Linked DNA regions of Alligator mississippiensis. The protein of the gene in region 1 interacts with the protein of each later gene in a pairwise test. Links are inferred from orthologs where the notes say so. Each region holds a gene or a part of one and is shown in the gene's direction. Other genes may lie near its edges. The genes, in order: ANXA11 and PDCD6.

Region 1 (16,674 bases):
AAGTCAATGGAAATTTGCTACTTATTTCAAAGAGGGGAGGAGCCAATACCACACAGACTGAGGAGTGAGAATTTAGTTGTATTGCCCTGCCAGCATACCCGAAGCCAAACAGACTGTCTGTGATGTCAAATAAGTGCCGCCTTACTCAAGAAAGTCAAACCACTTTAACTCAGGGTGCAGACAGAAGTGACAATTTTCACCTGATCTGGCCACAGAAAAAAGTTTATAGCTGTGACCAAACACAAGTGCACAGCTGCAAACAGCTTAAAAAATGGCTGTTTGAGTGAAAATCTGACCCCTCATAGCATGAGGTATCAGATAAACATGTTACAAAATGTAGGGTCTTTTGTAAGTTGTGTCTGCTGAGCTCCCAATGTGTCACTGTTTTCAGAATGAGAGAGGGGAAAGGGAGCAGAGGAAGTTCAGTCTGGAGGTTGTTTCAGCCCTCCCAAAGGGTGGGGCAGGTGTACTGCAGCCCCCCTGAGGTGGGGGGAGGCTCAAATTCACTCATCTCCACCCTTTTAGCACCTGTTGGGGAGCCCCAAGAATGAGCTCCCTCTGTTGCCTTTCCCCTCTCCCATTCTGAAAACAGGGAGCACTGGCAGAGAGCCTGGCCATTGCCATGGGAACCTGATGGCAGGCTCTCAGACCAGCTAGATTTCCTGTCCTCTAGAACCAACAGTGATCTTCTGTTTGGTCTGGGGTAATTTTGTAACTCAAAATGCTTTGCAAAAACTGTACTGTGTTACAACTGAGAGCTGCACTTCTGTTTGAGTTAAAACCAATTTCAGAATGGGAGAAGGAAAAGGGAGCAGAGGGAGTTTGGTCTGGGATTTTTTCAGCTCCCACTCAGCTTCATTTCCACCCTTCCATTCTGAAATAGGGACAGGCTGGGAGAGAGAAGGGGCCATTGTTAGGGGATACAAGCTGCAGGTTTCCAGCCAACAGCTAGATTCCCCTCCTCTCTGAAACTAACAGCGAACTTCTGTTTGCTCCAAGGGATCATTGTAACTCAGACACTTCCTGCAAAGTGTTCTCAGTTACAGCGGGGAGCTGCACTTCTGTCTGCACCCTCTGTGAGCATCTTTGAGTTTGTTTTGGTTTAGAAGTGTTTTACATTGAAGTTTGTCATATAGACAAGATCTCAGTGTTCGTGCCCATTCATGCCATTTCAGTGACGGTGCCAGTCACCTTTTTGTAATTTGACATGTTATGTAAGAAATGAGCATTGCCTTTAACTTAATTATTCCAAATCACTGCAGTCATGGTGTGAAAGACATTTACCCTCATTGAGTGGATGTGGGCCAAGACTTCACTGCATTGAAGTACCTCAACAACTGCTGATTTATAGGCTATAATAGTACCATCACATTTACACAATCAGTGCATACAACATCTCATGGAACTATGGGTTCTATGGCCCTTTGATGTGCCATGAGACAAATCTTCTCCAAATGATCTACCCAAAGTTCCTGGATTGTGCAGCTGAGGTGGTATTGGTAGGTCTGCTGCAGCAAGTTGAATTTCACACAAAGATCCTGTGTCTTCCATCTAGTCAGCAGTGCTATTGAAACTGAGGTTCTGACAAAGACAATTTTAATTGCAAAATTCCATGCCTTATTTTTTTAATTGGCTTTCTAAATACTTCCATGTGAGTAGCCTCACTCATTTTTAAAGAATGCAGGCACACATACAGAAATTATTTCTACTGAGGCACTTAGCTAGAATAACTGTTTCAAATGGAAAAGGCCAATATGAAATGTTTCCATTCTTTCAAATCCCAGTAGAATTTTACTGATGAAAAAATAAACCATGTACAACAAACGACTCAGTAAAGTTTTCCCTAAAAAATGCATCATGACTTGCTAGACAGAATTACTTAATGCTGGGCTATATTTTAGAAAGTGACAGTAAAGTTAGTGGGACTATTCACATAGGTACTAACAAATTAACTAGTAAAGGCCAAGTAATTTGGGTCACAGTTATAAAGTGGGAGAGGGATATTACAAACTATATGACAAGTAGTATGTGCTTGCAGATGGATTTTGAGGTAAGACAGCCAGTAAGGCAAAGGGATGGAAGAAGGTTCCCAGATGACAGATTCCTGGATATTTTTTTTCTCTCTTTTCAAAACACTTATGTTTTCAGGTACCCTGTGAGAGTACCATCTGCTAATGGTCAGGGTACTGCATAGACACCTTCTTTATACAAAGTGAATATTGAATCCAAATATTAAGTGAACTTTAAGTGATCCCATTCACCATTTTTCTTTTTTCTCTCTATCCACTTTGGAAACTCGTTGCTTTGAAAAAAGGGGTTAAACTTAAGAAACATGAATTAAGAGAGTTATGCCCTATAGCATATTTTGAAAGCACCAAATGCCTCTATGATGTTTACCCTACCCTAAAATGCTTTGACATCTGTTGGTAACTAGGTATGCATTATTATTGTAGTATGTCTCAAACCAGATGTTACAATAAGCCTTAGAACTGTCTGTGGGTATTAATTCTTGACAATCCATGTTCCCAGTGAATAGTCTGTCATCCAGCTAATTTAGTATCTGTGGTCTCTGCATGGTGCCTAGACAGTCAGAAATTTCGGAGGCTTTTTGGAAAATGATAGATAATCAAACCTAAAATATTTGGTGGAATAGCACTGGTTAAGCCAGCAAGGGTATTGGTTTGTCCAAAGATTATGTTTTGGAATAACTGTTTTTTGCAGGTAATACCAAAACTTTCTGTGAACCTTATAAACTAGATCAGGTCTAGTGTTGGAGCTGTTGCTTCTCCAGTGGCTTCTCTTCTTTTTCTTTTCTGTGCTCTCTGCCATTTTCAAACACACAACTCATAGTTTCTAGGGTTGGAAGGGACCTGAACAGATCATCAAGTCTGACCCTGTACCCTGGGCAGGAACGAGTGCTGGAATCATAATACCCCAGCCAGATATCTATCCAACCTCCTCTTCAAGACCCCCAACGTAGGGGAGAGCACCACCTCCCTAGGGAGCCCATTCCAGATCCTGGCAGCCCTAACCATAAAGTAATGCCTCCTGATATCAAGCCTGAACCTGCCGTCAATCAATTTATGGCGGTTAACCCAGGTGGTGCCCAAGGGAACAGAGCCTCGCCTATTTTCCGCTGGTGCCCCCTGGTGAGTTTATAAACGGCCACCCAGATCCCCTCAGTCTTCTCTTGCGGAGGCTGAATAGATTCGGGCCCTTTAGTCTATCTTTGTAGGCCTGGCCTGCTGCCCCCTAACCATGCGAGTGGCCCTCCTCTGGACCCTCTCAATGCTAGCCACATCTCTCTTGAAGTGCGGTGCCTAGAACTGGACACAGTACTCCAGTTGTGGTGTGACCAGCACTGCATAGAGGGGAAGGATCATCTCCCTGGACCTGCTTGTGATGCATCTGTAGATGCACGACAAGGTGAGGTTAGCCTTACTGACTGCTTCTTTGCATTGGTGGCTCATGTCCATCCTGGGGTCAACAATGACTCCAAGATCCCTTTCAGCCACTGTGTTGTTGAGAAGGGTGTTTCCTGGCCTATAGGTGTGTTGCTGGTTCCTTCTCCCTAGATGTAGCACCTTGCACTTATCTGCATTGAATTCTATTCTATTCTCATCTGCCCACCTCTGTCACCTGCCTAGAACTAGTTGGATGCTGTCCCTCCCCTCCAGTGTGCCCACTTCTCCCCACATCTTTGTGTCATCAGCAAATTTGGACAGCGTGCTTTCCATGCCCACCTCCAAGTCGCTGATAAAGATGTTGAATAGCACAGGCCTGAGGACTGAGCCCTGGGGAACTCCACTGGCCACATCCCTCCAGGTCGAAAACGACCTATCCACCACCACTCTCTGGGTGCAACCATTAAGCCAATTTGCCACCCATCTGACTCTGTAGGCATCAATGCCACAGTCGTCTAGTTTTTTTTATGAGAATGGGATGAGAGACAGTGTCAAAGGCCTTCTTGAAGTCCAGGTAGACGACATCCACTTCAATGCCTGCATCCAAGGACTTTGTGACCTGGCTGTAAAAGGAAACAAGGTTAGTCAGGGAGGATCTGCCCTCAGTGAACCCATGTTGGTTGCCCTTGAGCATTACCTCCAATGGTGGGCCCCCACGGATGGGTTCCTTGATAATTTTCTCAACGGTCTTCCCAAGGACTGAGGTGAGACTAACTGGCCTATAGTTACCCGGGTCCTCCTTTCTCCCCTTCTTGTAAATGGGGACCACATTGGCCCTTTTCCAGTCCTCTGGGACCAGAGCACCATGAGAGCTCATACAGCTGTGCCAGGAGCCCTGCTATGACCTCCACCAATTCCCTCAGTACCCTCAAATGAAGAGCATCTGGATCTGATTTATACACGTCCAGTCCCTCCAAGAGTTCCCTAACTAGATTGTCGCTGACCCTAGGCATGGCTTCGTGTCCCCTGAACCTGTCCGTAATCCTAGTGGGGGAGTTGTCTCGGTCCCTGATCAGAAATACGGAGGCAAAGAACTTGTTAAAGAGATCAGCTTTGTCCTTTGCTGCAATCACCAGATTGCCAAGCCTGTCCTGTAGGGGCCCTGTGTTACCTGGTGCCTTCTTACTTCCTATGTATTTGAAAAAGGACTTTTTGTTATCCTTAATTCTGGTCGCCAGCCCTAGTTCCATCTCTGCTTTGGCCTTCCTAACAGCCTCGCTGCAATCACGAGCAACGGAGGTGTAACCCTCCTTGGTGATTGCCCCTTGCTTCCACTGATTTTATGCCACCTTTTTTGCCCTCAGGCAAAAACTCCTTTTTTTCTGTTAATTATTTAGCTTTACCTCTTGTTCACCAAAAATTGATGCCTAACACGCAAATGCTCAACACCCACACACCATGGATTCTACAGAACATAAAGGCTAAGTACACAGTCAAAAAACCTGAGGCTGAATCAATTCAGTCTTTGCAGGTTAGTCTAAGCTACATAGAATAAATTGAGAAACAACTGGGCACACATTCACTTTTGATTCAAGAAATGCAGCCAAATGCCTGCAGTAGCTTAGGCCAGAAGCCAGGGAGTGCTAGAGCATGGCTCTTTGGCACATAGCCAGCATGGACTTTATAGTCACTTCCTCTTCCTGCTGCCCCCAAGGTCTCTGGGATTTGCAGTCCAGAATCATAGAAATAAGACTCTACAGGGTTCTCATTACTTCCTCTTCCTGCTTCCAGGTGCTTCTGGGATTTGTAGTCTGCAGTTGCAGCCAGCAGTAACTTTCAGTAAGTTTAGCAGGGCAGGGCAGAGCAGCTCTGTATTCCTATCCCACACCTTCCATGCATACCTTGCCTGCACATGCCTATAACTTAAGCACTTGCAATATGGATACACAGTCCTTCCAAGGTGCCATACTTGGCTTGCCATCACATCATTTTGAATGTGATGGCCATCACATCAATTAAGCATATTTTTGTTAGGGCCTTCCAAAGCTCCTCAAAATTGTCATTAGGCCTAATTAGCTTTCACAATATTATAGCAACTGCAGATTTTCCCCCCTTGTAGATCTTTGCCTTTTCCAGCTGATTTATAAATGATAGCTAGGGATCCTGGTTTTCTCTGTTTAAAACACCAAATTCTCTGATAAAAATCCAAAATTCTCAGATTTAAAAACCTTCAAGTCAGAGTTTTCCCACGATTAAAATGAAACGCCACCATATGTATAGGTATCAGTTGAACACAATATTTTTTTGATATATTTACAATTTTAAAGCAATTTGGAAGTCCACCAGTGCCTCCAACAGAAGTTGATCACAGCGCAGCGTTTATTGACCTATCTGCTGCATATGATACCATCCAACACTACATCATGATCTACAAATTGTACCTCATGACTGACAACTGAGACCTAAACTAGACCATTCATAGCCTATTGGAGAATAGGTGCTTCTGTGAAAAGTAGATGGTGCTCCCAAAAGAACGGTTTACTACAATGCAGTATGCACACCCCTTTTATTCACTATCTACATTAATGATCAGCCACATCCTGCTGAATGTCAGCATTTCACCTAGGGTTGTTGATTGTAGCTGTGTTGGTCTAAGGACATAGGCAGAAAAGGTTCTTTGGGTAAATGCAATCTCTTTTATTAGCCCAAGTAAATAGTTGGAAAAATTGTTCTTTGCAAGCTTTTGTGCACAAACGCCCTTCTTCAGGCATACTCTCCTTATGCCTGAAAAAGGGTGTTTGTGTCAACTATTTAGTTGATCTAATAAAAGATACAGCATTTCATCTGTGCTGATGATCTTTGCATTACGACACAATGGAAGAATGTTGAGAACACAGAAAAGATCCTGGAGAGGGCACTGAATGAGATGTCAGTTTACCACCTAAACAAGTATCTCAAACCCATCCCTAGCAAAACTCAAATCTGTGCTTCTCATCTGAGAAACTAGGATGCAAAATGACACCTGAATGTCACCTGACAACAGTCTCGGACATTAGAAATACCCATTTTACGTAGGGGTAACACTGGACCATACACTTAATTACAAAAAGCACATATCAAATACCAAAGCCAAGGTCAACAAATGAAACAAAATCCTGCATAAGTTTGCAAATTCCAAGTAGAGAGCACATCCACCCTTCACACTACTGACTTAGCACTTTGTTTTTCTGGGGCTGAATATGCCTGTACCACCTGGGGATGCTCAAGTCAAAGTAAACATATTGACACCACCTGAAATGATACATGCAGAATTATAACACACTGCCTAAAATCCACCCCTGTTCCCTGCCTATGTGCAGTCTCTGGGAGAGCGGGGGCGGGGGGAGGAGGGGAGGGATGGGGGCTCTTGGCAGAGCCCCCCATGCAGCATGGGGCAGTGGGGAGCAGCGGGGATTGGCCCTCTGCCTGGCAGCAGCTAGTGAATAGGGGCTTTTTTTTAAAGAACCGGAAGCTGGGGCTGGGGTGGGGGGAAGCCATTGATGGGGCTGGGATAGCAGGCGGGGATCAGGGGGCACTCAGGGGGGCTCGGGGAGCAGGCAGGGGATGTCCCCCCCATGGTCCCCTTCCCCTCCTCCAGCCCCCTCCTCCTACTTACAGGCATGAAGTCTGGGTCCAGTTCCCTGTGACAGCGAGCAGGGACTGCCTGAATCTCCAAAGCTCTCTGAATCTTTTCCAAATTGAGTCAAACCTTTTTATTGGTCTCCTGATTCAATTCAGATTCAGAGAGTCAACCGCCAAATCATTCCAAATCTCCTCTGAATCAAGTCAACACCCGAAGCTTTGCATAGCCCTACTCAGCAGCCCTGATATGCCAGCACCCTTCCCATGCCATTGCCCCCCAGCTCAGCTGGTGCCCCTCACTCTGGACCTGCAGCCACCTGGCCCTACTGGTGCCACAACCCATAAGCCCCTTTCCCCTCCCCATTCCTGCCAGTGCCCCTCCCTCCCAACCTGCACCCCCCTGCTACTGCTAATCCCCTCTGGGACCCTTCACTCCCAACTCACAGTCCCCTATACCCCCTCAGCCCTGCTGGAGGGGCTCTCCCAGCTGCCAGAGCTACAGGACCCAGCAACTGCATCATACCAACTCTCTGCTCCGCAGGTGGCCAGCAGCACCTGTGTCGTGGCAACCATGCACAGGAGGTGGTAGCTGCTGTGACTGGAGTGGAGCACAGAGCCTGGCCCCTGGCTCCTGCCCCCTCCATGGGTGGCACAGCTGCAGCAGAGCCAAAAGGAGCCCATGGGGGGGTTGGGGAAGGTTCCAGGCTGCCTTCTGCAGGGCTCAAGGCTCCCCATCCCCCTGGGGGCCTCTGTGGTTCAGCAGATAGGACCCAGCACAGGAGGGCGAATTGGGGTGTGGAAGCTCAGTGCTGCTACCAGGAGCCCTGTGCCAGCTGTGCTGCCATGGCAAAGCACCCCCTGCTCACTTGGCAGCAACAGGGCTGGCAGCATAGAGTTGTGCTCCCTTCCGCCCCCTGCTGCTGCTGGGTAGGCAAGAGGTGCCTCACCTTGGCGGCACAGCTGGCATGGAGCCTTGCCACCCACCTGTGCCGGATCCCATCAGCTGGGCCTTGGAGTGCACAAACCTGGGGAGGTACATGCCCCCTCATGCTCTCCTGATGTGTTGCCTTTGGCGCCTGAACCCTCTTAGGTGTGTGTGCATAGGGCCATAGTAACACTTTAGTGGACCCTAGGCAAACAAACTTGTGGGCCCCAGGCCGTTAAGACCCCCCTCCCAACCCCAGCGCTGCTGCCCATGGGAAGCAGGGCTTGGAGCTGCCGCGAGGAAGCAGTGCCATGGGAGTGAGGCTGTCGAAGGGGAGGGGAGGGGAAGGGAGGCTAAGGGAAGGGAGATGGATGGGGCTATTCCCCACTGCTGCAGGGGGAAGGACCGGGCCCTCCACAGCTCAGGGCCCTGGGCATGTGCCTAGTTTTGCCTATGCGTTAATCCAGCCCTGTGTGTGCAGCAGTGGGCAGCCAGGCCTCCCGCTGCCTCCCAGAGGAGCTGCCTGTGGCTCTGTCCCTCTCCCTGGCTGGGTCATGGCTGTGCATTCTTGCCTTGGCTGGGCAGTGCACCCAGGCCCAGCTGCCAAACCTGTCCTACTTCCTCTCCCACTGTGGCCACCTGAATCTGCCCCCTTTGCCCCATCCACACCACCTATGCCCCCTCCACCCTTCCATGTGAACGGACCATATCCCCCCTCCCCCACCCCACAGACTGACCTGCAGGCAGTTGGGGGAGCTGCTCTTCACCATTGTCTGGCTGTATTTCTGGCCATGCACACGTATCTGTGTGCACACATGCATGTGGCACCCCCTGCATCCCACTCCCCGCAGACCCAAGCAGCCCTCTAAAACTCTGCTGGCCTGCAGATTTTCCATGACAAAAAACCCCCCGGATCCCTCATGATAACCACTAGCCACTCTGTTTCCAGCTTTAGGCTACCTACCTAAGGGTGCTACAGGATGCAGCACAGTATTAGAATATTAGCAATGAAAATGGGTTAGGGGCTGGGAAACATGACTTATGAGAAGCTGGGGGAACTAGTCTTATTTTATCTGAAGATGGAAGGGGGATTTAATAACAACCTTTAAGTACCTGATGGGTGGTTACAGATGATGGAGCCAGACTGTTCTCAGTGGTGGCCAAAAACAGGAAAAGGCAATGGTCTCAAGTTGCAGCAAGGGAAGTTTAGGTTAAGTAGGAAGAGAAAGTTTCTCGGGCAGGGGGTGGTAGTAAAGCACTGGAATAGGTTCCCAGGGAGGCTGTGGAATCTCCTAGAGGTTTTTAAGATCTGGCTAGACAAAGCTTTGGGTGGGATGATCTAGCTGGGGATGGTCCTGCTTTGAGCAGGGGGTTGGACTAGATGTGACCCCGAGGTTCCTTCCAACCCTAATTTTCTACACAAGAGCAGACTATTCTGTAACCATCTACACAATTCACAAGATCAATGCAGCAATTTTGAATAGGAATCCATAATGTCAAAAAAAATCCAACCACCCCAAAACCCCATTCTGACCCCTTGTGGACCAAGAGAAGAATTGCTTTATTACTTTTCTGTGGTCAAAAACTGAGGAAAAATGTAGAGCTGGGGTTTTCAGAGGAGGTGCCCTGACTCTGAGCCATGGATGGCTTCATCTAAACCCAACGAGAGCCAAGAGCTGTGCCAATTTGACAGGCTGTTTTCTTGTTTGTTGGCTTGTTTTGGCTTTCGGCCTTTCCTCTCCCTCTGCTTCAATTCCAGGCCATGCTGGCCCCGCCCGTCTCTACTGGTCTCTCGGGAAGGACCAATACTAAGAGGCAGAAAGAAGTTGGTTCCCTTTCCCCAGTCCCTTGTTGCTGGCCCCGGCTCCTTTTCCAGAGCTGCTCTTGACACATTTGTGACGAAATGGCAACTCCTGAGCTCGTCTCATTCAGTCATGACGAACAGCCTTTCATTGCGTGACGGGGAGCTTGGAAAGAACCGGGAAGAAGCAACCGGGAACAAAGCCCCAGCCCCAGCCCCAGCCCCAGCTGCCCCGGGGCCGGGCACAAGGGCCCGCCGGGACAGCAGCTCGGGGCGGGGCCGGTTCGCCGCCGGGGCCGGGCGGTTTCGGGGCGGGCCTCGCTCCTCCCCGCCTCCGGGCGCCCGAAATAGAAGCGCGGCCGCAGTCGCAGTTGTAGCAAAGCGGGCCCGCGGCGGCGGCGCAGGTAGGACAGAGCTGCGGGAGGGCCGGGGCCGGGGCCGGGGCCGGGCGCGGCGGGTTCCTGGGCTCGAGCCCGCAGGCACCGCTCGGGACTGCGGCGGCCGAGGCGAGGCGAGGCGGGGCTGCGGGAGGTGCCGCTGTGCGTGGCCCGGGGGTGCGACACCACCGAAAGGCCGAGCCCTGCGGAACGGGGTTGGCCGCCGGCCCCGGCCCGGGCCCGAGAACGGCTCCAGCCCCTGGCGTAGACCAAGGCAGGATAGTGGGCACTGGCATCCAAGACGGGGCTCATCCCGCCTCCGCCGGCTGCTGCGGAGTGGTGGGACCGCCCCGGGGCTGGAGCCGGGACACGGGCCGCGGTCGCCTCCGCGGGTTTCCCAGGACGGCTGTCCTTGGAGAAGAAAACGCCGGGCTCTGCCTCCCCCGAGGCGCTTCTTTGTAGCCCGCGTTGCTGTCGCTGGCCAGTGTGAAAATGAAACCAAGCGATCTGGTGGCGTACTTTTCTCAGCTACGTGAAAAGCAAGTTGGAGGCGTCGTGCTGTTCGACTTGGAGCCACACACGCTTGTCTGAGTGCTTAAGCATCAGTGCCTGCAGCTCAGGAAAGGCCCTTGTGCCCAAAGGCCTGTCTAGCCCCTCTGCCAACTGTAGGGCCGGTCCAATAAAAGATATTGCAGGAACCTCCTTGTCTCTTTGTATTTCCTGGACCATCACAGCTACAACCACGCTGTAGCCTGGAGGACTAGTGTGTGCTTGTATTGCCACTACTGGAAGTCCTCGTGGGTTGAAAGCAAGCATGCACAGAAGCGTGTTTTTGCAAGATGGCCTTTAAGAATACTGTTTGGATAATGATGTCCACCTTATTTTTTTTAATTGCATATTTTTATGTACTGTGAAATGGAAAAAAATGCATCAAAATTACTTCCTGATTTCTCTCTGGAGAGGAGAAAGTGAGCAGTGAGAACAGCTTGTACTAGGAAATAGTTGTTTTTCTCTACTAGATAAGGGAGTTCCTGGAAGGCCTTTTTTTCTCAGAGTGAAATATAAAAGGCATGGATCTAGTCTCTGAAGAGGAGGAATGAAAGTGCTGTATATAGAAGGGAGGGAAAACTGCATCAGACACAATATGTAGGGAAAAAGGTCTTTCTCAGAAGGGAACGGTGGGAATAGTATAATGATGGGACTAGGCACCAGTATTTCTTTGTCTGGCCTCCCAAACCTCAGCTGTTGCAACAGTGTGGTGGTACATTCCTTTCCCTCCTCTACGTGCATGTTATTTTCTGCATGACAAATCAGTCACCTCTAGAGGAGGTCTTGTGCTATTGTTACTTGGTGCAATGCTGTCCCTCAGCTTATCAGCCTGGTGATTCTTTTGTGATAGGCATAGCGTAAACACAAAGATTAGCTGCTTCTCTATCTTTCTTTTACCCCTTCAGCTCTTTGTTCAAACAAAGGCTATTTTCCTTTTCAAAATAAAGTTTGGAATCTTAACATTATTATAATGAAGCCACATCATCATGCTTTTCTTTCCAAGCTGCTTTAAACATGATTACCTTGATATAGTAGCTCTTATGTATATTGCAGTACAGTTTGAAAGCTGTACAAAATGTAAATAAAATAATAATTGCATTGATATAATCATCAACAAGAAATTTCATAATCCAAGGTGTGTGTGTGTTTATCCATGTCCTCCCCCACCCCTGGACTTAAGATAAGACCTGATGGTTTGTCTTGGGTGGTTAGGCAAGATTTATAGACTATAAAGTTAGGTACTAATTTCCTTACAGTTTCAGTGCAGGTTAATTGCCCAACTCAACTGCTTTTGAAAATCCCACTCCTTAGGCCTTTACCTGGTAGTCACCCAAAGGTGTACATCATGGGAGCAGAAGGTATATAAATGCCCCAAGTCACTAAAATATATGAAACCACATCTAGGAAGAGTGCTGAAAGTTGTCAAAACACCACAACGTTAATGGGAATATGGTTAGACTGTAATAGCAGAAGACTACTTCAAGAAAATTGAAGAAGCATGCAAATTCAGGCCTCAGCTCTTCGTGTGAATCCAAGTGTATGGAATATTTTGTTTGCTAGTCCTTAAATCACCATGTTAAAGCAGAATTAGCCTGCAGAGAACCATTTACTATCTCTGCATTGGTCAGAGTGATCAGGGATGAAATTTCAGTGGCAGTCCTGAGGTGCAAAGAGGAACCTGCAGTTAGAGCACAAATACTAGGCAAAGTAGACAGTAGTTTGACAGATTTGAGTGTCATTTGACAGTGGTCAAGCAGCTGGTAGGGCAAATATGCCTGTATGTGTTACCCTGGCTTCCCAATCCCACAGGTGGGACACCTTCTGTTAGCCTCAGGAAGATTCATAAATGGAGGTTATTTTCAATTGTGTATAAAAATAACTAAGAAAATCAATAGTTTCTCCTTTGTTATTTATTTCCATATTGCATCTCTTCAGTCCTACCATAGTACCCTTGTTGAGAATCACTGGTCTGCACCATAATACAGGTCAGTCGCATCATACGCACATTTAACTTATGCGAATTCAACTATACGCGGGGTGGGAGGGGGGGCAGGGCGCCCCCCCTCCCACCATTTGAGGTGGTATAAGGGTTATGTCTTCTGCTTTCTTGTAACTACACTTTTCCTGTTTACAAAACTTATGATCACTATGAAATGCATGGCTGCCTGGCTTAAATACGGTCAAGCTGGTTCTTGTAAGTCGTTGTTAAAGCAGGTTGAAGGCTGACTACCTCTGTGTTAAAGTAAGGACTTAGCTGATCAACAGAGAAACAGCAGTAACCCTTTACAGTCCCTAGTGAACAAAGCTCATCCATTTATTCTGACTACTTAAGATGTACACTTTGTTTATCGACTTCCTGAACAGTTCAGTGCTTGCGGTAATTATGTGGTAAATGTTGTTTTATTGCTTCTTAAAAAAGACAGTGGACTTAAGTTATCTGCACAGTTATACAGTGTCTTTTCAGCATGCTATTGCCAGATACGTTTATCCTGTTACAAGGTACCTTCAGATGTCTTTTACTGTATATGTTCCATAAAGGTAACTTCTGTGAAGGTCTCTTTCGGCTCCCATAAATAATCTTCTGTCCCAGTATTTGAGGTGCTCTCGTAGAGCTAGGGATGAGGTGGTCTCGTAGAGCTATTACACTTTTCCTTTACTTCAGTAACCTGTGGAACAGAAATGCAGTACATTTGCAGGGAATATTTTGGAAAGCTTTTCACTTACTTGTCAAGATGAGGTGGGAAATGCCTGAGCCGCTGTCCCACTTGTGGAGGGAGGCTGCTGCTTGCTGGGCACCTTAAGTCATGTACAGTAAACTAAGTGGAGGCTTACAATATATTTGGCTATTGTAGTTAGGAATTTTTCTGGATTTTACTTTAGAGTACTGTAAAGCTTACAGTATTTTTCTCCAAAAGCATTTATCAGTGCTCTTTAAAAGTCAAACTAGGAGTAATTACATTTGACCCTGCTTGTGTTAAATATGAGAGTGCTTTGTTCTTAAGTTGTGGTGGCCTAGTGCCTTTAAAAAATAATGTTATAAACCTCAGAGGAGTGAATGGGGTTAGAAAAGAATTCAAGATATTTATAAGGGTGCTACTCATCTGTGCTAAAACAATTTGACCTGATGTTACAATTAAATATGAACTTTTCCGTTCCATATATTCTAAGTTCTCATAAACCCATTCTGATATCACATGAAGCTTTTTTTTTTCTTGTGCTAATATCTTATTAATCTTGCAGTTATGGTTAAAGCAAATAGAAGGCAGGTTAGATTTGCCTTCTGCCGAACTTCAGATTAACACAGCTAACTGCCTCTCCCTGTTAAAACAAGTGTCTGGTGTATGCATTGTAATATTTTGACTAGCAATAAAATATTTCCCAGTGAACATCCTAAGGTTTTTGTAAAGGAAAACACTCAGGTAGGAATGGTGATGAGCACAAAAGATGCTCTTTGAAAAATAAATCTGGGGTTAGTGGATGAATTGTCATTAGTAGGAAAGTTAAAAAGCTTATCGAAAAATGTAAAGGAGGGCTTTAAGTATTTGCTGTCTTTAATAGTATGTCAAGACTATTTAATATACCCAAAAGGAAGAAGGATTTTTGCTAAAGAATACAGAACAAAATGTTGAGGAACAAATGTTAATTGTGATTTAAAAAAAAAAAAAGAAGTCAGATATTTGGGGTTAAGAGTGTTGGCAGCTCCAGGGATCACTGACTACTCCATGTCATATTGTTTCATTTTCATCTTTCTCCCTCCATTCACTTGGAATCCTAATGCAAATTCTCAGCTTAGGATAGCTAAAGCGTACAGACATTTGTTTCTTTCTCTTTATTACCCCTTTATGATATGAAGATTTAATGCTGATGGGAATCATTGTTCTCCTGGACTTGATCTTGCATTTACTGATGAACAGAAAGTTATGTGGATCTCCATGCAGTATCTTAGTCTCTGTAGAGCAAGGATGGACAATTAGTTAGGCCCAGGGGCCACATAGGCTGTTTTAGTGAGCTGTAGTGGGCTGCTGCAACAACTCACCAAAACTCCTTATGTAGGACGGGGCCCCAGGCAGTAGTGTTCAGGAGCAGGAGGGGCAGGGTAACAGGGCGGTGACTCTGTGGGGCTGGGCCCAGGGCAGAACCATGATCTGCTGCCCACATGCCCTTGCGACAGTCACGGGTTTTGTGGGCTGGGGACAGAATTGCTCCATGGGTCAGATCCGGCCATGGGCCATATTTTACCCGCTCCTGCTGTAGAGGATATGGGTCTCACAGGGTGTTGACTGCAATACGTGTGAAAATATGTGCATTACTTAACCAGCATTACCTCACTTGGGTCACCAGGCAACCACTGAATAGATCACAACTTTCAGTCATTTACCAACTGCATTCACTATGATATAAATGTAAACATAGATGGGACATGCTGTCTTTAAAGAGCTGTGATACAAATCAGTTGAATTAACTTGTTTAATCGGAACTAGCCTTTGGAACCCAGTAGTAATCTGAAATCTCCTTTGAACATTTTTTCCCACTCGTGTAGTGACTTGTAGGGGATAAGTAGCAATTTCAACAGAGATGACTTGAATTGGTGTGGGGGTGGTACACTATTTTCTCTGTAGGCTGATAAAATAAATCTTTACTGCCTCAAGGAAATGGAATAGGTTGGAAGCAGCATGTCACTTTTAAAAAATGCCAGAACTACGGGTTTCTCTCTCTTTCCCTGTCATCCTTGCCTTCCTGAATGATCATACCCTTGCTTCAGTCATGACAATTGAATGCTGCAAGCAGAACTTCAGTATTTGATACGCTCCCACTCTTTCAAGCCAGCAATACTCAAAATCCAATGCTAATTCCAGCAGATCTAGGGCTCACTCTAGACCCATTGGCTTTATTTCTTTCCAGTCCCTTCTACCTCTCTAAAATGGTTGAAGTGCTGTAGAGACCAAAGGCAGGGTTAGGAAGTAGGAAGCTTCTGGGCTATTTTGCATCTAAGGAGGTCTGAAAAGACATTGGTTGGGGGAAGTGGTTGTAACAGTGATGAGGGAGAAGTTCCTGCAGCATCTCTGGTTATTGCCTTAGCATGCAACTGAAAGGTGGGGAGAGAGCAATTTTTAAATTATCCCCATTAATGGGCTGCAGTTTTGACTATTGCATTTATAAGGCAGAAGCAATTTATGGGTAACTAGTTACTAGTGCTGATGATGCTTCTTCTGCTTTCATGTCCCAGTAGCAGGTCTTAGCAATGTGAGTGGTGAACAGATCTGGGCCAAGTCTGTCCATTTGTACATGCTTATTGTATGCTTTGAAAAAAAGAGGTCTTTTCTTAAGGAGTGCCTTCCAAACCAAGTGCTTGTGGTGCCACATGATTCACAGTGTGTGCAGATTCCCCCTCTTTAGGATGGCTTTAGGTGAGCCAGTGTAATAGTTTGACCATGGCTGTTTCCTACTTGAGAAAGGGAAGAAGAATCCTAGTTGGTATACATGTGTGGTGTGGTGGTTGTTTGTTTGTTTTTTTCTTTCTTCTTCCTTTAAAGAGGGAGGTTTTTAGCAGCTGTCTGAGATTAATGCTAGAATAAAAAAGCTAGTAATTTATAATATCACAGAGTTATTTAGGCTTTTATAAATCAGGGTTTTTTTAATTCCTGAAAAATGTTTTTTCTGCTTTTGATCTAACAGTGGAAGTAGCTGTTCATTCATGATACATCTGGCTTTACAGCACTCCACTCCCATTTTTATTTCTGTCACATAAGATGTCATTGTGACTAAATAGGAAATGTTTTACTGGTTGCCTCTTGGATGCATTGTAATGTTTAAAGGTAAGGAAACACAATATAAGCCCAGCTCTGTGTAACATGCTTTATTTGTGTGGATCTATTTTATATATTGTCATATAGGTTGAACTGAAGCAAAATCCTTTGACCCTAGCTGACTTCCTGCCTTTGGGGCAGGGGGCTGGATTTGATGATCTCCTGAGGTCCCTTCCAGCTCTAATGTCTA
Region 2 (16,143 bases), on another chromosome or scaffold:
AATGAACAGGTTGACAAGTGCTTTCTCTGGGGGTGTTTAGAGACAGTCCCAACAGCAGGCCTTAGCACCTGGTCAGATATGGAACATGGAAGTGAGATGTGCTGTAATCTCCTACTCAGCAAGTGGCAGATTATCTGGACACAAGGTCCACTCCACAGAGTGCGTCCAGAGGTACATCCAAATCCTAGCCTGCCTGACATCTGTAATAGGTGCGCTCCTGCATTGAGCCACCCACCTCCCTACGCCCAACCACCTTCCAGGCTCTGAGTGCCTCCCTAGGGGCGCCTCATGTCTGGCCAACCCCCTTCCTGGAGCACACCCGCTAGCCTGGGGTTTCCACTGCCACCTCCCAGAACTCTGGACTTAATTCGGGCTCTGCGCGCTCTGGGAAATACAGCCCTAGTAGCCCTCAAGGGGACTTGATTCACTTCAAGAAGTTGGGATGCTTCCCTCAGTCAGAAGCACAAGTAGTGGTCTCCCTTAGTCTGCCGAACCAAGGGGACCCCAAGGCATAATCTAGACCCACTCCCAATAAGTATCCCACACTAGGTCCAAAGGAGAACTTTATTGGTTACAGAGGGTAGGGTTAGAATAGAGTACAGGGTAGAGCAATATCAGAGAAATCCCATAGAGCAAACTCCTGTGGCTGGGGTAGCTTTTGATCTTGCATCTGAGTTACTGCAAGCTATAGATCTAGGTGGATCTCAGGTAGCTTACTCACAAGTATCATCCAGAGGCAGGTGGAGAGTCCCTCTGGAGGCAAGCAGTTCTTTGATCATGAATTTTGAGAGTGAGAGCCAGTTTCAGATAGTACAGTTCTTCTTTGTTCCCGAGTATCCCTCATGGCTGCTGCCCCCCCTCCCCCCGTCCCGGGCAGTCTTTAACTTATATAGCCCTTGTGACCTCATTTACCTGGTCCAATGGAGGTCAGCACCTGTTGGTTGTCAGCCAACCAATTTGAAATACATCACTAGTTGCCGGGCAGACTCTAGCCCACCAGGAGGGAAGCCCCTCACCCCCCTATGCGATACTAGTCACCTAGGCAGAGGGAGCAGGTTTCCCCCCTCCCTCAGGAATGTATCCAGCTCAGGTTACCTAAAGAGATAAGGTAAGGATGTCTCTCTCGGCTGGGTCCATCCTAATTAAAATTGTCACAGAGCTGAGTTTTTGGGAGGGAAACAAAGGTGGCTTTCTGCCACAGGGTAAACCAGCAAAACTAGGTCACCTCTAGGCTCAAGGTGGGGAATGCTGGCCCTGGTGAAGTCAGTGACAAACTTCTTGAAAAACCTCCCTTGGCCTTCAAGGTAGTCAGAATTTTCTCCCATGGTCTTCAAAGCTAAAGGAGGCCAGACTGCACATTGGCCCTTCAGAAATGTGTTCAGGGGGATACAGTGCTTATCCTAACTTGTCATTCAGTGACCTTTCCTGAACTGGCTATTTATTTATATCTTTATATTTAATTTGATTTATATCCCACCCTGTCCAGAAGGCTCTGGTCATACACAGAGTGTTTTTCATGGGTGACTGTTATTGTTCATGCTAAATGTTTGATTCATACCCAGTAGACAGCTGTTGCTATGTAAAGAAGGGAGAATAGAGGAATTAATAAACACATTTATTGTCCCCTCTCATTTGTTCCTGCTACAGAGAAACAAGGCCAAGGAAATGAATGATAAAATGACAGATATAATGATGTGGTCTGTGAACGAGGTAACCAACATCATATACCCAGCTATAAGACAGTATAAAGAGAGAAAGAGTAGGCTCACCCAAGAGTTAGACCTGGATGCAGCCAGTACCACACTAGTGGGTGGTTACATTGCATCAGTTTGGGAAGGTGGCATTCACAGAAGCAGGCATGGTGCATCTCACTGCAGCACTCCCTGCTGGGGTACAGTGCAGCCTAGACAGGCCCGTTGGAACACAAGCTTGCAGGACACTGTTCTGCAGCGATGCTAAAACAACATCTAAAAACATTAGACGTAAAACTAGAAACCAGTCCCAGTTGAACTGACTGGATGTGTTTTTGTTTACAGAGATTCGTGCTGCCATACACCAGGCGTGGGATACAGAAGATTCTTTTGACATGTCTGAGGTCAATATCTTGTAAAACCCTTTGTGGCCCAACTTCCTGGGATTACCAAAAGTCTCTTGGCTCCCCCAGCTGAGTCCTTGCATTTTGCAGGCTCTTCACTATTTCATTCAGTTCTAACTTCTGCTCTGTAACCTCTACACAGATCTTGCCTTTAGGTGTGCAGTGGAATCCATTCCCCAGCCCAGTTGCTCTAGCTGTTGAGATCTCTGGCTCCAATCTTACTATCCCTGAAGTCAAGGGGTATTTTTCCACTGGCTTCAATTGGAGTAGGACTGAGTGCTTTTTTCTAACCTCTACCCTAATTATTCTTTCTTTACTCCAGTCTATCATATGTATTATGTCTTAAAAACTAGTGGAATCTATATACATGAAGGGAGGCCACTCCAATGTGCTGTAATTACAGTGTCTTGGAGCAGACTCGATTCATTGAATCTGCTGGAGTCTGTTAATTACTGCACTCCAGCAGATTCCAGTGTCACATGTATCAAGGTCCCTGCACTGAAAAATGGCGCCCATGCACGATGTTCTGGACACTGTTACACTGATGCTTTCAGAGCCGTGCTAATTTAAGCACCCCCCACCCCACTGTCTTCCACAAAATGTCTATAATGCCCTAGTTATACCCAGAGAACACCCTAGTTGTTACCTGTGATGCATATAGCCTTCCTAGGCCCACATCTTGCAGACTTAAGCATGTGCATAAAATCATGGACATCACATAAAGTAATACATTACCTTAGGAATTGTTACTTAAGAAGGGTATTGAAATCTTTGGATGTATTGAAAGGGAACGTAGATCACAAGTATGAAGGCATTATTACCACTGTCTATGGTATTAATTAACTCCTTATTGGATGCTGCATCCAGTTCTCATGTTCATGCTTAACTGAATGTTGATACACTAAAAAGGGTTCACAAAAGTTACAAGAAGGTATGTAGGTCTAGAAAACCTCTCTCAGTGTGAGAGACTAATAAAGTTCTACTTATTCAACTTAAAAAAGAGGTTTATCAGCAATTTGATCATGGGCTAAAAGCATCTCTATTTAGGGAAAGTTTCTAATTGGTAAAGGCTCTTAAGTCTTCCAGACAGAGGCAGAAGAGAATGCAGTGGCTGGAAGATGTAACTGGACAGGTTTGTTTTAGGAACAAGGTGCACACTATTTTCTTGTTATGCAACAAGTTATTAACTACAGGAACAACTTACCCAGGGGTGTGATAAATTGTCCCTCGTCTGAAATGACTTCATTTCTAAAAGACAGGCTGGAGCATCACCAGGAATTATTTGGGTTGATTCTGATAGCACTTGCTGAAGTTTTGCAGGCTGTTTCACTGCGGATCAAACTAACTGATCGCTCTGGTCTCTCTCTGCCCTTCTAATCTATGAAGCCCTTTGTACATTTGAGACTTAGTGCTTCCTCTCCTTTCCTTCCTTGCATCCTTTAGATTGCCTTTCTTTGTACTTTCTCTAGCTCTATGAGGAGTTTGCATGTGTTAGGAAGTGCAGAATTGGGCAGGAAAGATACTCACACAGCCCAAGGGAGGGGGAAGCATAGAGAAACTGTGGAGACATTATGAGGAGGAAAAGTAGCGGAGGTGGGGAAGGGGCTGAGCTGAGGCTTCTGTACGAAAGACTGTGGCATGCCCGACTTCAGAATGTAGGACAGAAGGGGGCCTCAGTCCATCCACTGACCCACACTTCACTTGGTCATTCATGGCATCACCAGGAACTGTGGCTGGGAAGAGAGCCCCACCACTGCTGCCTGCCCCTCATTCTGTGGCTGTGTAATCCTGAGGAGCACAGATCAAACAGAATCCAACCTGACTCTTTTTACTCTTCCCATGGTCCAGGTGGAATCAGCCTCAGAAGATGGTGAAGTGAAAGATCCCTTCTTACCAGTGGAAGCAGGAATTGATATAGGTATGTATGGGGAAGTGACACCATGGGTAAATTAGGTGCTGTACCTATGGTCACAAAGCAAATCTGTGGCCAAGCCCGGGACTGACACTAGGCCTCCTGAATCTCCATTCATTGACCTACCCAGAGACCATCATTGCTGCTCTGTCTAACACTTTACATGCAGCATTCCAGTAGAGAGAGAGTTTCTTGTCTTCAAGCACTAAATTGTACAGAGCTGAGTCACAGTAGAAGATCCAGCCACGTTGGATATCAGTACCCCACCTTAACACACACCTACATTTTGAGTACCTGCAATGCCTGAGTGGTTACACGACTGGACTGGAAATCCAAATGCATTTCCCTGTACAGAATCAAATCCTGTCCACAGGAGGGCCTTGTCTCTTGAGGAAGGTAGGACTAAATGACCTTTTGAGACCGTTGATTTATTCTTCTGTATTATAAGACATTTCTCTTTTCTCCACAGCAGCAGCTGCCAGTGTTCCAAGAAAATGATCTTCATTTTTTAAGAAGATACCACACGCTCTGTCCAGAGCATTCTCTTTTCTCTCAGCTTGCCTAACTTGCCACAGAGAGTTTCGGAAAGTCGCGCCAGAGACGATACACATGTGCTAAATTGGTTTAGGAAAAAATAGGAAAAATATAAATAGTTTTAGGAAAACAGGTGGACTGGTAGAGGCTGCCATTTCTATTTTGTGATTGCTTGCAACTTAATTCCCATGTAGCTAAACTCAACACAAAGGACAGAGGAGGCAGAGACAGGAGGTCAACTCTATAGGGTAGAGGGAGGCTGCATTATTCAGGAGCTAAGGTGAATCCTAAACAGGTGACCATGACACTGGAGGGGAGTTGGAGAGGGAGGTCAGGAACCTACTCAACCAGTAAGTATTGCCACAAAGGGCCAAAGAACATGTTGAGAGAACTTGGAGGTGCCACCTAGCAAGGGTGGAGCGTTCAAGCCAGTAGACAATGCCATCTGGGGATGGCAACATTCTCCAGCTGGAATCAGAGGGGAATCGGAAGCACCCTGGAACTGAGACATAGTTCTCAGAGCCAGCAGATAAAACAGTTTTCTGAGTCATTAGATACAGCGGCTGGAGTTTGACCAAGCTGCCCGAGCAGAAGAGCAGCATGGGAGAGCTGCATGCAGGGAGGAAACACCCAGTTCTGAGGACCAGTCTGTCTTGGCCTGGCAGTAGGGAGGGCTGAAAAGAACAGTGGTGATGCCCTGATCTCTGCTCCCTTTAGGGACCTCAGTGTCACCAGAGGAAGCTTGGGACTCCCTCCTATGAGGGTCTGAATCATCTCTGACCCATCTCTAATATGTGCCACTTTCCCCCAAGGGCTGGAGTTACTCAGGTGCTGGGGAAAGGGATGCTGCCAAATTCACAGCTACTCACCGCCAAAATTCAAAGCTTAGGGTACAGAGCCCCCCCAGGTTACACCTGGCTCCCAAAAAATGAAAATTTCTTCAGTATTATGACTTCTTTAAGCTCTTGCTTTTTGAAATCCCCACTCCATAACTGGGGACAGTTCCCAGGCTGCCAGCTCCCACAGGGACTGAACACAAAACTCCCATACCAGCTCCCAGCACAGCCGGAGGGCACTGCTTCTCCACAAGGATGTTCTAGACCAGTGGTACTCCACCTTTTTTGTACCAGGACCCATTTGTAAGCTTCAGTGGCCATTCCTGACCCAGTGCCCCTCACTCCTGACCCGCTGCCCCTCTCCCCCAAGCTTCAGCCCTCCACTGTGGGTGTGTGGGATGGAGGGGTGTGAATGGGGCTGGGGGGCGGGGAGGGAGGCATCCAAGCAGCACCTCACAGCCTGGAGCTTTGCCAGCCTGCAAAGAAAAAGATGGTTTCCCAGAGTTTTCTCCTTTAAAGGAGAATCCACTTTTAAAGTTTGTTCACGACCCTTTCATATATTCTTATGACCCACTTTTGGGTCACAACCCATGGGCTGAGAAACCCTGTTCAAGTGCAAGCCACGAGCTATGGGCTGCAGAGCCCTGTTGCAGTGAGTTCAGTTTATGGTCTCTGCTGTTCCCCCTGCGCCTCTAGTTTCAGGAGTGTTTCCCATCCTTCCCCAGGCTAGGAAGGTGCTCCACTGAACCCCCCCATACTCCTTCTCAGGTCTCATTTAGCACGAATGAGCCTACCTGACCCAGGGCTCACGGGAGAGGAGAAGATGGGGGAGTGGAGTGGTCTGCACTGGCATTCTCCATCATCCTTGCATGCAAGTTGGGTTTTCATCAGGGCAAGGAGGGAGAGCTGCTTCCCCCTGAGGAGCCCCGACTGGCCAAGGTATCCCAGAAGGCAGGCTAGCAGGACAGGCAATCAGCCAGAGGAGGGTTCTCTATTGAGGGCTGAAGTGCATTTCATTATAGCAAAGCCAGCCTCCTCAGGGGCCCAAAACTGTCAGCAGCAATGATATCCTGTAAGGCTCTCAACACTGCAAGAGCAAGCTTAGGTAGGAAAACACTTTGGCGAGGATGTAGTCATGCAATAGGGGGAACAGGGGCAGGGGAATGAACAAGACACCAGCCCTGGGAGCTGATTCTGAGGGGCACCAAAGTGGCAGCCCCTAGGAACCTGCACCGCTGCCGCCCCAGCAGCCCGTGCTCACTCGGCGAGCTTGTGCCAAGGGAGCAGCAGCTTGCACCACCACCGGAGCAGCCCCCGTGCAAGAAACGAAGCGCTCGCTTGCCCAAGCGCCACCACCCTCAGGGCACCAGCACCTGAGCGAGGCCTCTGGCTCAGGCCCGTTGCTGCAAGAAGCTGAAACGAGGACAAACCAGAGCAAGGCGCAGCCAGGTCTCGGCTCCCTCGAGACTCGTAGCCTGCACCCAGGAAACAACGCCGTCCTGACGTGCCACAGTTGCTACGGCTCACCCCGGGGTGCTGCTCCTAGGGTCACCCGGCGGGACAGAGAGAGCGGGGGCAGGCTGTGACGCCTCCACCCCGGGTGGTCCCTGTCCCGCGGGCCGTGGCTGGGGGGCTGACAGGGTCGGGAGGAGGGACAGGGAGAGGCCGGCGTTTCTCAGGATGGCTCCGCACCACGGAGCAGCACGACCCCGCCGGGGGCTGTCCCCTGCCCCTTGCCCCGTCCCCCCGGGAGGCGCCCCCGCCAGGCCACTGCTCTCGGGTGAGAACGGCATGAGCCGCCGTGTCTCCTGGGCCCCTCGTGGAGCGCGGGCTCCGGGGCGGCGACAACCACCCCTGCGGCGAGGGCGTGAACCACCCGCGGGCAAGAGCCAGACCGCGCCCCACTCACGTCACGACCGGGGCGTCACCAAGCCCCGCCCCCGGCTGGGGGCGGAAGGGGAGGGACGAGGCGTCCCGGAAGTGCCGCCGCGCCTTGGCCCCGTGGCTCCCTCGCGGCCGGAAGTAGGCGGGCAGCGCGCGGCCATGGCGGCGATGGGGCAGCAGTACCGGCCGGGTGCGCCGGACGCCAACTTCTTGTGGAGCGTGTTCCAACGGTGAGCACCCCTTTCCCCCAACTCCCTGGCTAACGGCCTCGTCCGCGTGACGTCAGAGCTGTCGAGGCTCCCGGGGCCGGGCGGGGAGCGACTGCCGGGGGGGCCGCCCCCCGCCTTTTCCGCCCCCAGCGGCGCTCGGTGCCCGGGGCTGCTGCGGCCGCCGCCGCCTCCCTGCGCCTGGGGCAAAGCTGTAGGGAGGTTTCAGCGCCGCCCGCAGTAATGGGGCAGGCAGCTTGCCACCGTGTGCCTCCCCACTGTGCCTGCCCTCGCTGCAGCCTCGGGCTGCCCCTGGCTCCGCTCCCCGCGCTGCTGCTGCCCCTGTGGTCTCGGGCCTTTGTCCGCCTTCCTCGCCTGCCCTGCCGCCGCCTCCTCCTCCTCCCCCCCGCCCCCCTTTGCTTCCTGCTGGCAGGCTCGGTTCCTGTTGCAGCAGGAGTGTGGGTGCAGTGCTGCTAGGGGCTGGGCTGGGCACATGCTCCGTGCCCCAGGCTGCAGCAGGGAGGGAGCCCAGCAGAAGAAAGGGGCAGTGCGGGGCAGGGAGAGGTGGCGTGGGGGGGCAGGACTAGGGGCTGCAGGGTAAGAGTGGCTGGGTGTGCAGAGGCGGCTCTGGCTCTGGTCCTGACCCCTGCTGCCTTATGCTCTGCTGTAGGGTGAAGGGCTTTTTTCCCCCATGTTAAATGAGGGGTGGGGGGAGAAACATTGCCTTCTAATAGAGTCAGTGCGGCCGGTGGCACCTACGTTGTTGCAAGTGTTGTGACACCTTCTGTTGCATTGCGCGCTTCAGCACGTGGATGCTGTGGACTCTGGCCTGATGCCTCCTTCTTTACAGACCATTTTGTAGGAAGGCTCTGTGCCGAACTCACTTCTGTGGCCTCCAGTCTGGCATCTGGTGCCTCACGTTTAGGTATTATTGCACTGTCCGGGCTTGTTTGTGGTTGTAGCCTTTAACAAGCATGACATGTTCTGTTTTTCTAAAGATGCCCAGTTATTTTCTAAGAATCTTATACCAAAATCTGTGACTATGGTATAATTTTTCATTGTTTTTTTTCTTTTTCATTTAAAGGAAAATACCTCTTTAAAGGTTATTCTCTGTGTTCGTTAATGCTCAACCTGGTTTACTCTAATAATCTTCCTCCTTTTTCTTGGCAATTTTTATCTCTTGTATGTTTATAATGAAATGGTCTCTTCATTATTATACTGAATTCATTAGGTGTGGTCTGCAGAAGACAGTCATGTGATGAGGTCTCCATGACTACTTATTTACAGTGATAATTATTTACTTCTGTTTGTGTTGTCTTTGATCCATGGTGCAGCAAAAGCCTTAGGTTTATGGTAACCTTAAGATACTTACTGTATTTTTGTACCTAAAATACCAGATTTTTTTTTTTGAATTTTTTTCTTTCCTTATCCTGTATATTGAAAATGTGGGGTCCCAGTCTTGCAAATATTTCCATTTGGGAGTAGTTTTGCTACAACCATAGTCACTCTGACTTCAAATTAGACGCATGCATTAAGCGTGCAAAATCAGGGCTTTTGTGCTTCATTGAATTTTTGCTGTTTTAACATTATTATTGAAAACTTTTTTCTTTGAGAGAATTTCTTGAACGTTTCAGGTTCTAGAGTGGAATTTGTTAATTTGACATGGAAACATTTAAAATTCTTTTTGCAGGGTTGATAAAGACAGGAGTGGAATAATATCTGACATGGAACTTCAGCAGGCATTATCCAATGGTAAGTATAGCTCCATCCAAAAGTACTTTATTGAAAGTTGAGTACAATATCTCACTTGCTTTTTGGATTATATAATAAATGTTATTTTCTACGGGCAGTTAAAGCTCTGGTATCCAGCATAAGTTGAGAGTCGCGGGGTGCCGGGAATCTGAACATGCCGGTTACTTGAGGCACAGGGGTTTCCAGCTGGACGCAAAGCGGGGGCAGGGGGTGGCAGTGGCTGCAATGGAGTAACAACAGCATAGGGTGGCAGTGGCTCCCTGCAAGCTTCCCCTGCCCACCCCTCGCAGCCAGCTGACTGGCCAGAAATTCTGGTTAGTAGAGTATTCTGGCTAGTCGAATGCCGGATAACAGGGCTTTTACTGTACAAAAGAAACTGATGATCTGAATAAAGAGGTAAGAGCAATCCTCTCAGGAAGGACTGAAAAGAACATAAGAGATTATCAGGTAAAGAACCTGTAACTTTCTGACCCTGCATGCTCATATACATATATTTTTAACCCTTAAGAAGGAAGTTGGATTTGTTTCTTTTTCTTTTTAAAGATTCTTTATTAGTCATTTTATGTACTTAAGTGGTAGCAACGTAACAAGCCCAGTTTCTGGGAATTGGATTGTGTTATACGAGAGGAAAAGCATATTAATATAGCCTCCCAGCAGCTTTGTGTTTTCATACAAAATATTTACTTATATCTCTGAACATGCCCTTCCCTTTTCTTAATCAGTCTGTAGCCCAGGGACATTTTGCAGGAGTACCTCCAACTGGTTTTACCGAACAGGTAATCTGTGGCATATCATGATGCAGGCAGTGAGCATGGTAAGAAGACTGAGGTTCTATGACAGGGCTGTCCAACTTTGGAACAGCTAACTAGGGGTGGCACACTGCACTGGTCACAGGCCTTAGGCCACTTGCCATGGGAGCTGAACACTGCATGGGCTCCCAGGACCCCTGAAGCGTAAAGTTTCACCACCAGATAGGCAGCACAGCCATCAAGCTCCCTTCACCACATGTGAGTAGTGAGCTCACTGGGCCCCCTCTCGTTATGCTGTTGGCCCCAGCACCCAGTAGCCTGTATGCTGCACGTTAACCCCTTGCAAGCTGGATGTGGGCCACCAGTTGAAGAGTCCTGGCTGATTAATTTCTTACTGGATACACAGATAAATGTCTGTGTAGAGAGGAAGGTGGAAAAGTGTAATCAGTGCTTCCAGAAGCCATTTCTTCAGCAGTTCCCTAGTTTATTATTAGGACTTCCTAGCCACCATGAAATCACTTGTGTTGAGGCGTTGATAGGGATTATAATAAGCTTATCAGTGATCTGAAGGTGAAGTTCAGGTATCCTTGTTAAACATTTTTGTTTTATTAACTTTTGTTGCAGTTCACTGATCATGTAATGCTATGAGAGTGGACCTGGTTGTTCTTTAGTAATTTACTTTTTTTCTGGAAAATCACAGACACTGAGTTTGGGTAGCTCCTCATTGCTTCCCAAGTTCCTTTCATGTGAGGTCCCTGCAAAGTTTAATTCTGTCATCCCTTCTGCTCAACCTGTCTGTGAGGAAGGTGAGTCGAGTCTGAGTGATGTTTTGGGTTGCAGTGCTAAGATCAGTAAAACATTATTTTTAACAGTCATCGTCTGTTTAGGAATATATCCAGGCAGTGGGTTTTACCATTACAAATCTGGTGCCATTATAACCTGTATTTATTGTTTTTGAAAGAATTTGGTTTTATATTTTGCATGATAGAAGATTACAATTGAGGGTGGATCCAGAGGGGATGATTTGGTGTGCCCTTAACCCCTTTCTGACCATGCCACAGGAGCACCATTCCGGGACTTAAGGTTCACGTAAAATAAGAATTTTGTCCCTTCCCTTTCCATCCATGCTCAAAGGCATGACCCTTCTCCTTCCTGCTGCTGCTAGGTCTGTGCTGTCCCCAAGGCAAGGGGAGCTCCTGCCCACTCCAGCTGGGCTGTGGGGGGGTAGGCAGTAACTAAGCTCAGTGGGGACCGTGGTATCCAGCAGGCACATTCCCCCTCCCTTGCCTGTGAGGTACCCTGATAGCCTAGGAGCAGGCACAGGGAGGGGGGAATGTGCCTGCCTGCTACTGCCGCAGTCTTGGGTGAGCACAGCTTGGCTGGAGTGGGACAAGAGCTCCCATTGCCCCCAGAACAGCAAGGACACCAGCAGCGGCAGGTGGGGAGGGGAGGGGAGGGGACATGCCTCTGAGCACAGAGGGGAAGGGAGGAGGGAAAATGCTTACCGTCCCCAGGGTTTAAATCCTCTACTGCTGCTCCTACAGTGTCGTCTGCATGCCCCCCTGTCGGGGAGATGGCAGAGGAGCTGGGGGGTGTAGCCATCACTGTAGCACGAGTCACCTCATCCCCCTTTGTAAAATTCTGGATCCATTTCTGATTACAGTGGATAGATGCTCCCCCTTGCCCCCAACCTCACCACCAGAATAAACTGCTTGAAAAGGCAGAACAACATTTTAACAAAAATAGGTGAATGAATTGGAGTGTCTATCTTCATTCAGACCTTAAATTGTTCTTTACAAGGATTCTGGGCCCCCTCTCTTCATCAGTCCTTAAATTAGTTTTGTTTTCCTCATAGTCTACTCCAGTGGTGATGTTACCCTTCCCAGCTTAAATTCTGCACAACTGTTTCTCTCGTCTATTTGCCATACTCGGCAGCAGCTTTCACTCTTGATTATAATTTAATGAGAGCACCCCTGTCTAAACAACAGTAAGAAAACTGAGAAAACAGATAAGCTAGTCAGCTCTATAAACACACGTTTTCAGATGCTGTGTTCATCCTCTAGAAGATTCGAACAAACCATGCTCCCTAATAGTTCACTATATGCTCCCCCCACCTCCCCCTGGTATTAAATGGCAGTTGATTCTGCATACACAAAATTAATTGCTTTAGTCACCAATGGTTTTATCCACTCCCTTTCTTCTAAGTGTCTAGATGTGTGCTTGTGCCTTTGTTTAACTTGACAGTAATATGTGTGACAAGAACCTACACGTTGTCACCGTGTCCTTTTTATTTTTTTTAATGATTCTTAATTACGTATCCTAATGTTTCCAATATCTAATATTTGAATGTATGCTGTGTTCATGTGAATACATTAGAGCGACTTTACAACCTTTGCTGCTTGAAGACCAGTGACCAGCAGAGTCAGGGTAGGTTTGGTTCGCATTTGGAAAGTTATCTTCATAGCTGAGCATATTGTAGAAGCTAATAATTAAAACAGAAAGAAATTTCACTGAAAACATAAACTCTATGAAAAGAATGGCTTGGGCTTTTCTCTCCAGGGAGGTCTCTGCAGGTGGTACATAGACACCCCCCCCCCCCCCCCTCCGTTCAAAAACACCTTACAAATATTACATACTCCTCTGTCATAAGAAGCTGATACTAACAAGCTACTGCTCAGATTTTCTGGTGGCTACTGGAAGTGGCAAGATCTATCATTTTGCAGTGTCCATGTATAGTCTTTTTCCTCTGTTGCAGCAGTCCTATTCAGTAAAATTCTTGGCTGAGCTATTGGCATTGCCGTAGCCCTGATGCTGGAACAGGCTAAAACTAATGTGTTAGGAGCCCTTGTTCTGGATGAACATAAGCTTTGAGTTGGACCAGTTGAGCAATATGTTTGACACACAAAAGAAAGTCTCTTTAAAAAAAGAGCAAGGACGTGCCTAAAACTAAATTGGGGATAGATTGATGTAGGGAGAAAACAGTTGCTTCTCCAGTATTCTTTCTTATGAAAAAGAGAATGTTTGGACCTTGAACTGTATTCTTGGATCTGTGGCTGATTGATTTTCCACCCCCCCCCCCCCCCCCCGGTGCAATTTGTAAGTGTAATTAGACTTACTCTTTTGAGACTGTAGAAGAAAAGCACTTGTGATTAGGGTTCAGAGATGGAAAAGAAACTCAAGGTGACTAAAGTCTTTGCTTGCTTGTTGCTTTGTATGACTATCTGACCCTATGCCCTTTTTTGCTAGAGGACTGAGGATATTTGGAATATTGGGAACGTAACATTGAAGGCAGGTGAAATTTGAGCAGAGACTCTTCTGGCTCCAACTGAGGCAGAGGGGATGTGGGTATTACACTTGGGTAACTACAAACACAATTTGTTTAGGGCAGTAGACTCCTTGGATTCCATGGGGTTTTTGTATGTCTTGCCTTCCCAGAGCAAAAATTAGACTGTATATGCAGGCAGAGTCTTAGGGCTCAGTTTCAGTCTCCCTGATGAACCTAGGACTGCTGCTGAGTATCTATAGTCTGTCCACTCCCTCTCCAGCACACTCATGCTTAGGCAGCAAAGAGATGCTGAGCATGCATCCTAGTACTGCTCAGATTCTTTGGTCTTGGTTCACTTGGTGCAGCTAAAGCTGCAGGCTTTTGTCTGTAGTGCACTGATATTTCTGCCGGGACTTTAAAACTCATGTTTAACTCATGTTTTTGGCTAGAGGATCCCCATACATGGGCTCAGGAAAAAATGTTTCCTCTTGTTCAGAAAGGGCAAAACACCTGCAGTATGGGCCTACTCTGTAGCATGGGGTAGGGTCCTCTTCCTAGGATCCTCTGAGCATATATTAATTAACCAATGACTTCTCTGACATTTCAGGAGCAGGGTATTGGCAGTGCCGCTGTCTCCACTGCTTTTACATACAGTGTGTTGTATGTTGAAGTTGTAGTTTTGGAGAATCTTTGAGTAGATGGCCCAGGAGGCCTGACCATCCTTGGGGCATGTGTTTAGAGCTACTCTTGAATATTATAGAGCTGTGGACCGTGCTTGGGATCATTGCATAGGCCTCTACATGGCATGAGCTCTGGAGCTAGTTTCAAAGGTGGAGCGCGTGGGCAGGGCTTATCTGCCTGGCAGCAGTCCTAGGCTGGGGAGGAGTTCCGTTTTATCTTTGTCATTGCATCTTATTTCCTGACAGTCTACCATTTCATTGTAGGGTGCCACCCACCACCTTTATTTTATTTCTAATGCTCCTAAGTTGTTTGCATCCTTTAAAAACCGCAGTCCAGTAATAGATACTATTCCTATGCATCTCCATTATTCCTACAATGTCTGGTTCAGTCTCATACTAGGAGCTTGAGTTCCTCCGCTCCTTTGCTTTGACTCTGTGCAGTGATGTGCAAATCTGTAGTTTTTTTTTTTTTTCTACTTGTTCTTACTGAAGCTTCCAGTCACAATGTATGCGACCATCTTATCTCTACGTGCAGCTCTCCTGTTCCCTTCCACAGCCTCTCCAGTCCTCAGTGACTCCCAACTGGGCCACTGCCTCATTGCCCATATCGCCTTTGTGCTGCTAGTGTGTTCTTAGTGCAGAGGTTTTGCAGGACCTTTCCAGTTTTCTTCTCAGGTTATTCTCATCAGTCAGGCCAGCTTTGAACCCATAAGGCCAAGGGCTAGCAGCATGTGGCTGTCCTAGCTGGGGCACTTCAGGGATGTTCTGGGAACCGGAGGCTTCACCTGTGCCTGTGTCAAGGCCAGGTGGTGTGGTGCAGCGCAGCATGGCACAGCACTAGGGCAGTGTCAGCAGAGCCACAGAAGCCTTTGTTCCTCTCACTGCTACATTTCCAGCCCCACGGGCAGCCCCCTAGGCCAGAGGACACAGCTTCACATTCTGGATCCAGCCCATTGGACCAGAAATTTGGTGGCAGAAAGAGCAATTGGGAGTATTAATTGACTCAGCTGTATCTTTGATGTGTCTGCCACAAGTGCTGTGCAAGTCCCATGGTGACTTGGTCTTTATTTATAATGGCAGATCTCAGAAGCACTAGACTCTCTAGTGTTTTACTGGAGCAGCATGGGCTCCCCAGCATGGTTCAGACTTAGGTTCCAGTTTGTCATTCAACCCATTATAGTTGAGGTCTAAATCATTCTGACTTCCTGCCCCTGGGCAGGGGGCTGGACTCGATAATCCTCCAGGATCCCTTCCAGCCCGAATGTCTATGAAATCTATGTTCTCCTATTTGTTTTGGCCTACAGTAGATGCTGCTTGCCAAACTTGATAAGTTTTTACATCAGAACCTGTAGGAGCTGGATCAAAGCAGTCTTTTCTTGCATATTACGCACTTTCAAATAAAACACTTTCCTTGTGTTTTTTTGGGAGGTAGAATGGAGGAAAAAAGGATTTTTCCAGTCATGGCTGGCTGTGTGACAAGGAGTAAGTCCTCCTGGAAACTCTGCGTCTACTATTGCGGCAGGACAGGAACTGGGACTAGAAACAGACTTGCCAAATGAAGCAGATCAGCTGCAGCAGTATGTGCCCTCACACAGCTGACCCACTTCATTGGACCAAATGCACAGTACCCGTTGTCCCTCCCGTTGATCATGTGGGGCAGTAAGCCATGTGTTACCTGTGACTGGAGATGCCCCCCCAGGGCTCAATAGAATCACACTGGGTGTTGAATTGGCACCTCTCTGAGCCCAGGAAAGCTGGGCAGGAGCTGCTGGTGCTTCAGGGCCCTGATTCTGCCTGGGAATTTCTAGGGTAGCTGGAGACCGCAGTGTGCTCCAGGCTGCCCACACTCTCATGCCTTAAAGCAAACAGACATCCCTTGCTACATACGGACACAAATTGATACCACCGTAGCCACAAATGTTGGGGTTTTGTGGTGTGACAAAAGGCAAGGACATCCGTTTTCTTTGCCTTCATGCTGCCATAAACGTTATGTTGGACCAAAGGCGACGTCTGCAGGAGCGTCACCCCAGACCCTTTTGTGGGCGGTAGCGGGATTGCTAATTTTTTACTGTAAACAGCTCTCTGTATAAGTTCATGTAAGTAATAAGGAGTTGTTTCCACATCACAGACTGCATCAAGATACCACAAACAGTATACAGCAGCTTGTACTCTCAGCCAGCTCAAAGTCTCTTCAGTCTGGTGGCTGAGATGGCTGACACTGGACTCTGGC

Evidence for each region.
Region 2: the proteins of ANXA11 (region 1) and PDCD6 interact in binary tests that used the Homo sapiens proteins (3 or more experiments, as listed by UniProt). The link is inferred for Alligator mississippiensis from reciprocal best matches to the Homo sapiens genes ANXA11 and PDCD6.

Annotation. Positions count from the first base shown.
Region 1 is NC_081829.1:33,904,768-33,921,441, forward strand, and holds the start of ANXA11 (annexin A11), read left to right. Parts: upstream 1-10,023; 5' UTR 10,024-10,155; intron 10,156-16,674. UniProt on the Homo sapiens protein: Binds specifically to calcyclin in a calcium-dependent manner. Required for midbody formation and completion of the terminal phase of cytokinesis.
Region 2 is NC_081826.1:146,214,571-146,230,713, forward strand, and holds the start of PDCD6 (programmed cell death protein 6), read left to right. Parts: upstream 1-7,381; 5' UTR 7,382-7,420; coding exon 7,421-7,491; intron 7,492-9,157; coding exon 9,158-9,219; intron 9,220-16,143. UniProt on the Homo sapiens protein: Calcium sensor that plays a key role in processes such as endoplasmic reticulum (ER)-Golgi vesicular transport, endosomal biogenesis or membrane repair.